Linked DNA regions of Callithrix jacchus. The protein of the gene in region 1 purifies or fractionates together with the protein of each later gene. This does not show direct contact. Links are inferred from orthologs where the notes say so. Each region holds a gene or a part of one and is shown on either strand. Other genes may lie near its edges.

Evidence for each region.
Region 2: the proteins of OSBPL11 (region 1) and VAPB purify together in Homo sapiens (affinity purification with mass spectrometry; 4 studies listed by BioGRID and IntAct, counting the BioPlex papers as one, with this or other methods). This does not show direct contact. The link is inferred for Callithrix jacchus from reciprocal best matches to the Homo sapiens genes OSBPL11 and VAPB.

What each region holds. Positions count from the first base shown.
Region 1 is NC_133516.1:77,480,427-77,483,926, reverse strand, and holds part of OSBPL11 (oxysterol-binding protein-related protein 11), read right to left. Parts: intron 1,095-3,500; coding exon 941-1,094; intron 1-940. UniProt on the Homo sapiens protein: Plays a role in regulating ADIPOQ and FABP4 levels in differentiating adipocytes and is also involved in regulation of adipocyte triglyceride storage. Weakly binds 25-hydroxycholesterol. Interacts with OSBPL9 to function as lipid transfer proteins.
Region 2 is NC_133506.1:53,978,822-53,982,749, reverse strand, and holds the start of VAPB (vesicle-associated membrane protein-associated protein B/C), read right to left. Parts: upstream 2,801-3,928; 5' UTR 2,565-2,800; coding exon 2,507-2,564; intron 1-2,506. UniProt on the Homo sapiens protein: Endoplasmic reticulum (ER)-anchored protein that mediates the formation of contact sites between the ER and endosomes via interaction with FFAT motif-containing proteins such as STARD3 or WDR44.

The sequences.
Region 1 (3,500 bases):
CTCTTAGTAATTTTTCACCTACTCCCACACCCTGCCTGTGGGCTATAAATCCCCACTTGTTACTGCTATATGCAGAATTGAGTTTGATCTCTCTCACCTGTTCCAACAGTACTGAACAACGTTACTCTGTGCAGAATAATTCCTCTCTCACAATAGCAACCATTAGGTGCTAATACCACGACCACTCTAAAGCATCTGCTGCACCACTGTGCCCTGGCATACCACTTAGAAAACCCTGCTTACATCTTATCACCCAAATACTTTTATTATATTTATTTTTTTAGAGATGAGTTCTTGCTATGTTGCCCAGTCTGCTCTGGGCTTCAAGTGATCCTCCTGCCTCAGCCTCCTGAGTAGCTGGGATTGATTATAGGCCCAAGACACCATGCCCCGCCCAAATGAGCCCAAATCTGAGTCTACATCTCTAATCTACTATTCCAGCAGGCAGTTACGCAACACCATCCAGAAATTCACTATTTTAATGGAATAGTCCTATCTTGCTACAGTTTTCTGCATCTATCTGTCCAACATCACAAAGTGTGAAATAAAGAGTAAGAGGTAGGTTCTTACTGTCTGTCACATAAGGAATAAATGAAAAGTAGAAAGCTGGCCGGGTGCAGTGGCTCACACCTATAATCCTAGCACTTTGGGAGGCCCAGGTGCGTGGATCACCCGAGGTCAGGAGTTTGAGACCAGCCTGGCCAACATGGTGAAACCCAGTGATCAAGTGATCCACCCAACTTATAGGCGTGAGCCACCGCTCCCGGCTCTTTTTTTGGGACAGATCACCCAGGCTGGTCTCAAAAACAATTGGTATTTATATATAGTTGTACTACTTTTAAAAATAAAGATGTATAAGTGGTAGCAATTCAACAAAGCCTAGTAAGCCAAAGTTCTCACCAAGGAGATACGTTTTATCTTTAACACATGTACAGCATACCTCTTTAATAAAATATTTGGTTTTCCAAGGTGTGCCTGTTTCAGTACGATGCCTTTCTTCAGTTCTCTGACGTTCTTCCAGGGTACGCTTATGCTCTGTGGCCTTATCAATTTCAGATTCCCTCAGAGAGTCTGTCACATTTTTCCACAATCGCCTGTAATCCAAAAACCACATATTTTACAAACATTCTTTAAAAGAGATAATTAAATAGAATCAATACCCTCAAAATTACAGTAATTTTATAAAATAATATTTCCTAAATCACATCTACAATTTCGTGCTTATGAATTCTAAGAACAATGATACTCTGCTGCCCATGGTTATGTGCAGGATGCTGCTGCTTCTGCTTTTTAATTTAAAAAAATTTGTATTTTTCCAAGTTATAAAAGAAGGATTTTTGTTTTTAGAAAACTTAGAAGTTAACAAGTAAAAAGAGAAGTAAATTTTCAAAGCTGAAATGTAAGCAAGACCAACTGTGCTTCTGGACATGATGAAATAATGGGGAACACATTTATTTTCCTGCCTTCATCAACCGGGAAACCAGGCAACATATAATAAAATAGTGGTTTTCAGATAATGAGCAGTGTCAAAAGACAGTGCAGGACAGTGATCCTTGAGAAAGGAAACAAATGAGGGGAATCCTCTGAGTGCTCTAACTCACTGCCCAGAGAGTTTCTAGGCCATACACAGGTAGAGTGAAGCTTAACAAATCTCAAGCAAAAAAAAAAAAAAAGAAAAAACTGCCACAACAATTCTTTAGGGAAAGAACTGTTTGTTGAACAAACGGTGCTGGGAAAACTGGATATACATGTGTAAAAAAATACAAAATGTTAAACATAAAACTACCACAATTCCACTTCTGGGTATTTACCCAAGAAAAATGAAAATAAATATCCACACAAAGATTTGTAGGAGAATGTTCACAGCAGTATTATTCATCACAGTCCCAAACTGGAAATGTCCACCAACTGGTGAATGGATAGGCAAAATGTGATATAGCTATACAGTGCAATACTATTCAGCAATAAAAAGCAATGAACCAGTGATACATGCAATTAATACTTCATGGGGCCGGGCAAGGTGGCTCACACCTGTAATCCCAGCATTTTGGGAGGCCAAGGTAGGCAGATGATGTCAAAACATAGAGACCATCCTGGCCAACATGGTGAAACCCCATCTCTACTAAAAATACAAAAATTAGCTGGGTGTGGTGGCACACACCTGTAATCCCAGCTACTCAGGAGGCTGAGGCAGAGGTTGCAGTGAGCCAAGATCATGCCACTGCACTCCAGCCTGGTGACAGAGCGAGACTCCATCTCAAAAAAAAAAAACAACACACTTAATGGATGAACCTCAAAAATGTTATACTAAGGAAAGAAGCCAGGAATAAAAGATCACATATTGTATGATTTATATGCAATATCCAGAAAAGGCAAATTTATAGAGACAGAAAGTAAGTTAGTAGTTCTCTGGGCTGGGAGGTAATGGGGATTAACTGTAAATGAACATGAGGGATCTTACGGTAGGATAAAAAAGATTCTAAAACTGATTTATGGTAATGATTGTACTCCTCAAGAAAGTTACTAAAAATCTTTCTTTTTTTTTTTTTGAGATAGGGTCTCACTGTCACCCAAGCTGGAGTGTGGAGTGGTGCCATCTCAGCTCACTGCAACCTCTGCCTTCTGGGCACAAGCAATTCTTCTGCCTCAGTTTCCAGAGTTGCTGGGACTACAGGCATGCGCCACCACATTCGCCTAATTTTTGTATTTTGAGTAGAGACAGGGTTTTGTCATGTTGGCCAGGCTGGTCTTGAACTCCTGACCTCAAGTGATCCGCCCACCTCAGCCTCCCAAAGTGCTGGCATTACAGGCATGAGCCACCAAGCCCAGCCAGAGACTTACTAAAAATCTTTGAATGGTATACTTGAAACAGTTGAATTTTATGATATATAAAATATACTCGGATAAAGTTTTGTTTTGTTTTTTTTCAATAGAGATGGGGGTCTCACTATGTTACCCAGGCTGGTCTCAAATTTCCGGTTCCAGTGATCTTCCTGCCCTGGTCTCCCAAAGTGCTGGGATTACAGGCCTGATCCACTACACTTGGCCAAGTTTTTTCTTTTTTTTGATACAGGGTCTTGACTCTGTCACCCAGGCTAGAATACAATGGCATACTCATGGCTCACTGAAGCCTTGACTTCCAGCCTCAGGTGATCCTCCCACCTCAGCCTTCTGAGTAGGTAGGACTACAGGTGCCCACCACCATGCCTGACTAATTTTTGTAGTTTTTGTAGGGATAGGGTTTTGCCACATTGCCCAAATTGGTCTTGAACTCCTGGGCTCAAGCAATCTGCTTGCGTCAGCTTCACAAAGTGCTAGAATTACAGGCATGAGCCACCTTGCCCTCAAGTTTTCTTAAAGTGGCAATTTTATTATCAAAGTAGAATTCAAAGAAGGACTACTACCAGGGATAAAGAGAAACATTTCATAATGATTAAGGGTCAATACTTCATAAGTGCTAGGCACAGTAGCTCACCCCTGTAATATCAGCACTTTGGGAG
Region 2 (3,928 bases), on another chromosome or scaffold:
GAGTTTGTACTGGGATTTGGGGTTTCAGGGAGTTAATGCAAGAAAGAACTGCTCAAGAAGAATCAACATAATTGTAACTTGGACACTGGGTGCATCTATGCATAAAGGGACTGAGAAGATCTGACTCTTGTCTACTTACCAGCCTTGTCTCCCTTCTTACCAGGCAACCACAAAAAATGTTCTTTGTTGCTGTCATTCAGAACTACTAGTGGTGGCCAGGCGCGATGGCTCACACCTGTAATCCCAACACTTTGGGAGGCCAAGGAGGGCGGATCACTTGAGGTCCGGAGTCTGAGACCAGCCTGGCCAACATGTTGAAACCCAATCTCTACTAAAAATACAAAATTTAGCCAGGGGTGGTGGCACAGGCCTGTATGTAATCCCAGTTACTCAAGAGGCTGAGGCAGGAGAATCACTTGAACCTGGGAGGCAGAGGTTGCAGGGACATGGTGCTCTGCACTCCAGCTTGGGTGACAGCGAGACCTCTATCTCAAAACAAAACAAAACAAAACAAAACAAAACAAAACCTACTAGTGTCATCCCAAAGGAGCCAGTCAAGTGTTTGTGCCTCAGTGCATACAATTTCCTCTGCCTGAAACATCCCCGCCCCCCCGCCTTTCCTTCTTTGAAACTTTTTCTACTTCAACTTTTTAACTGAGCTCAAATGACACCTCTTTCAGAAGCTGACCTTCTCAATGCTCCCAGAGCACTCTGGATTACCCTACATCACTGACCTGTCCTGGTTGTTATTCTCATCTGCCCCCATTCCCTAAACTACTGGGAGGAGGCTGAGGGGAAAATGGGAGAGTACAACTGATATGACTTGGCTTCTCCCGGTATCTGACACACAGATCAGGTATTCACTAAATGTTTCTGGACTAACTGAAAGAACACGCCAATGCACGGGAGAAGCCAGAACTTCAGACAACTCAAGTGGAAACCATGGCTCACCACATTCACTTTAGCTACCTGGACTCGCTGTCCAGTCTGGCTTCTGCAGAAAGCCAGGAGAACATCAGGAAAGCTCAAGTACTATCCGGGAATTAGGATCCAGGTTTTTGTGGGGTTTTTTGTTTTCTTCATTTTAGTTGGAAAACCTTTGGTTCTCTGTAAATTCAGTTATTTCACATTGCTAACATGGAAGGCAAAGTGACAGCCACAGTTCTGGAGTATTTCCCAGAGATCAGATAGCATAATGGTTATGAGTGTGAACTCTGACATCTGGGTTCAAATGTACCATTTGCCAACTGGGTAACTTTGGGTAAGTTACCCTACACTACTTCCCACCAGGACACATAAACTGGAGAGTCTCTGGCCATTCATTCATTCATACCTACCAACTGAGCATCTACTGTGAGCTTGGTGCTAGCGATATAGTGGTAACCTTGCCTTCCCATCTAAAATACACTTTCATGGAGTCAGACTGTTCCATTTCCTACACAGCACTTAGCACTATCTGCAATGATCTTGTGTGCTGGTTTTTCTGCCCTCGTCGGAAGGTAAGTTCTACTAGAGCAGAGGCCTTGTCTGTCTTGTTCATCCATCATCTACCTCCGCAGTGCTTTCCACATTACTGGATGCACATAAAAAAGAAGGAATGAGCAAGTCAGACAAGAACATTTTGCCTCGTGGTCCTGGTGAAGGTAGGAAAAAAAACAAAAACAACAACATAGAAAACATAAAGGCACAAATGACAAAGATAACGGCATCTGGGAGAAACCACGGTCATGGCTTCCCACCAACTCAGGTGTTGCTCCAGGCTCTGCCAAGAAAAAGGATCCCAGCACCCTGGCAGCCTCCCTCAGCAGCACCCAGGAGACAGCATGAGGGAGGCAGCGAAAGTAAAGTGGGTTCGATCCCATCGGAAGTCCTTAGGAGGTTCATTTGTTGGCTCAACAGGTATTTACTAGGCATCTAATGTGTGCTAGGTATACAGTAGCGAACTGACAAGAGCCTGTCCTCATGGAGTTTCCTTTCTAGTGTTGAAACAGTGATTCTGGGCATGAAAAGTGCCGCGTTGACCACGAAACTGGGTGACGGAATGGGGAACGACAGCAGGTGTGCACGGTGGACTGGCTGGTCACAGCAGGCCTCTCTGAACAGGTGACATCTCAGCTAAGCCTTGAGGTCAACACTGTCACAGAGCAGGGGAAGAACCTTCCAGGCAACGGCGGAGGCTCACACTACAGAAGACCACAAACTCGTCAGTAAGTTACAAGGCAATGTGACAAGTGCCTCGAAGGCAGGTCCCGGGAGGCTGAGGGTCGGGGAGGCGGCGCAAGCCCCGGCTCTGGCACCAGACCTCTCGGGCCGTCTCGGGTCGCGGCAGCTCCAGGCAGTTCTGCGGCGTGCCGCGAGCGCCACGGCCCAACCGGGCCCCGCCGCCCCCCGCGACTGCGCCGTCAGGGTGGGGACGAGGGCCGACGTCACCCGCCGCGCCCGACTCAGTCCCTTCAGCACTGGGGCGGGGGCCGCGGGCCAGAAGGTGGCGGCCTCCGGGGCTTACCTCGGAATTTGAGCTCGTGCTGCGGCTCGAGGCTCAGGACCTGCTCCACCTTCGCCATGTTCCTCAGCGGCGGAGCACCTTTGGCGGGGAGACCCCTGAGAGGTCACCGGGGCGGGAAGCGTTAATGCTGCGCCCGCTTTTAGTTTTACAAAAAGGCGGAGGCCAGTCGGGGCACGGGAGGGGTTGTCGACGGGGTGAGCGCGCGGAGCGGGGGGGGGTCAGTCTACGCGGTGCAGGCGCAGGGGCGGAGGGCGAGGGCGAGGCCGCGGTGCCCGGCGAGCTGACGGCACGCACGGACGCACGCACGCACGCACGCAGAGACGTACACACGCACGCACGCACGCAGCAGGCTAGCCCGCTCGGACGGCGGGAAGCTGCGCCCTGCGCAGCCGGCTCCAGGGGCGGGGACGAAAGCTGCGCGCGTGGAGCCCCTCCCGGGACAGTGCGCAGGCGCGGCAGAAGCCACAGGGGCGGGACTGCGGAGCAGCAAGGGGCGGGGCCTCGCGCAGCTCAGGAGGCGGGGTCTGTAGTCCAGCTACTATGATAGCCATGGCGAAAACTATTAAGGGACCAATGGGGGCCAGCCTCGTCTTAAGTGCTTTATTCAATAGTAGCAATTGGTAAGAATAAACTTCCACTTTTCTCTTGCTTATGTAGTGCCAGGCACTGTTAGAAACTTTGAATAATAGTAAAAGTACTTAGTATAAACATGATGTTTATGACTGAGTGATGTGCTAGGCACTGTGACATCTTGTAAATAATAATTATAAATATAATAAACTACCAATTATTGCCTTTATATGTTGTGCTACTCTGCTGAATGCTTTCAATAACAACAGCAACTACAATAAATACAAGCTGCTCTACATTAAATGTTTACTATGCAACTGGCACTGTGCTGAATTCTTTACTAATTAGATTTGTTTATGCAACAAATATTTAGAAATTTGTTCAATGATCAGAAAAGCTAACCTGATTCCAACCCTCTTACAATAGCCTAGTGAAGAGACATCTGTTGAATACGTAACCACACAAGTAAGTTAAATAATTAAAAATTGATGGGAAATCCAGATCTGCTTGACCTAAAAGTGGATGCTCTACATCAGGATTACCATTTAAATTGTATTTCATTATATTATGTATGCTGTGGAAGTAAAATAGGTGTTCTTAATAGTCTCCTATACATACCTATAGAGGTGAAACAAACATGGCAAATAGCTAACAATGGCTGACTCTACGTCACAGGCATGTAATTTTCTTGTACTGTTCCTCCCACTTTTCTGTATACTTGAAATGTGTCATGACAAAAAGATTTCTTAAAAGAATAATCTTTGTATTTTACCTGGAGCATTTAGTCCATTTACATTTATTATATTTACTAACATATCTGGAATTATTTCTACCATTTTATTTTGTTATTTC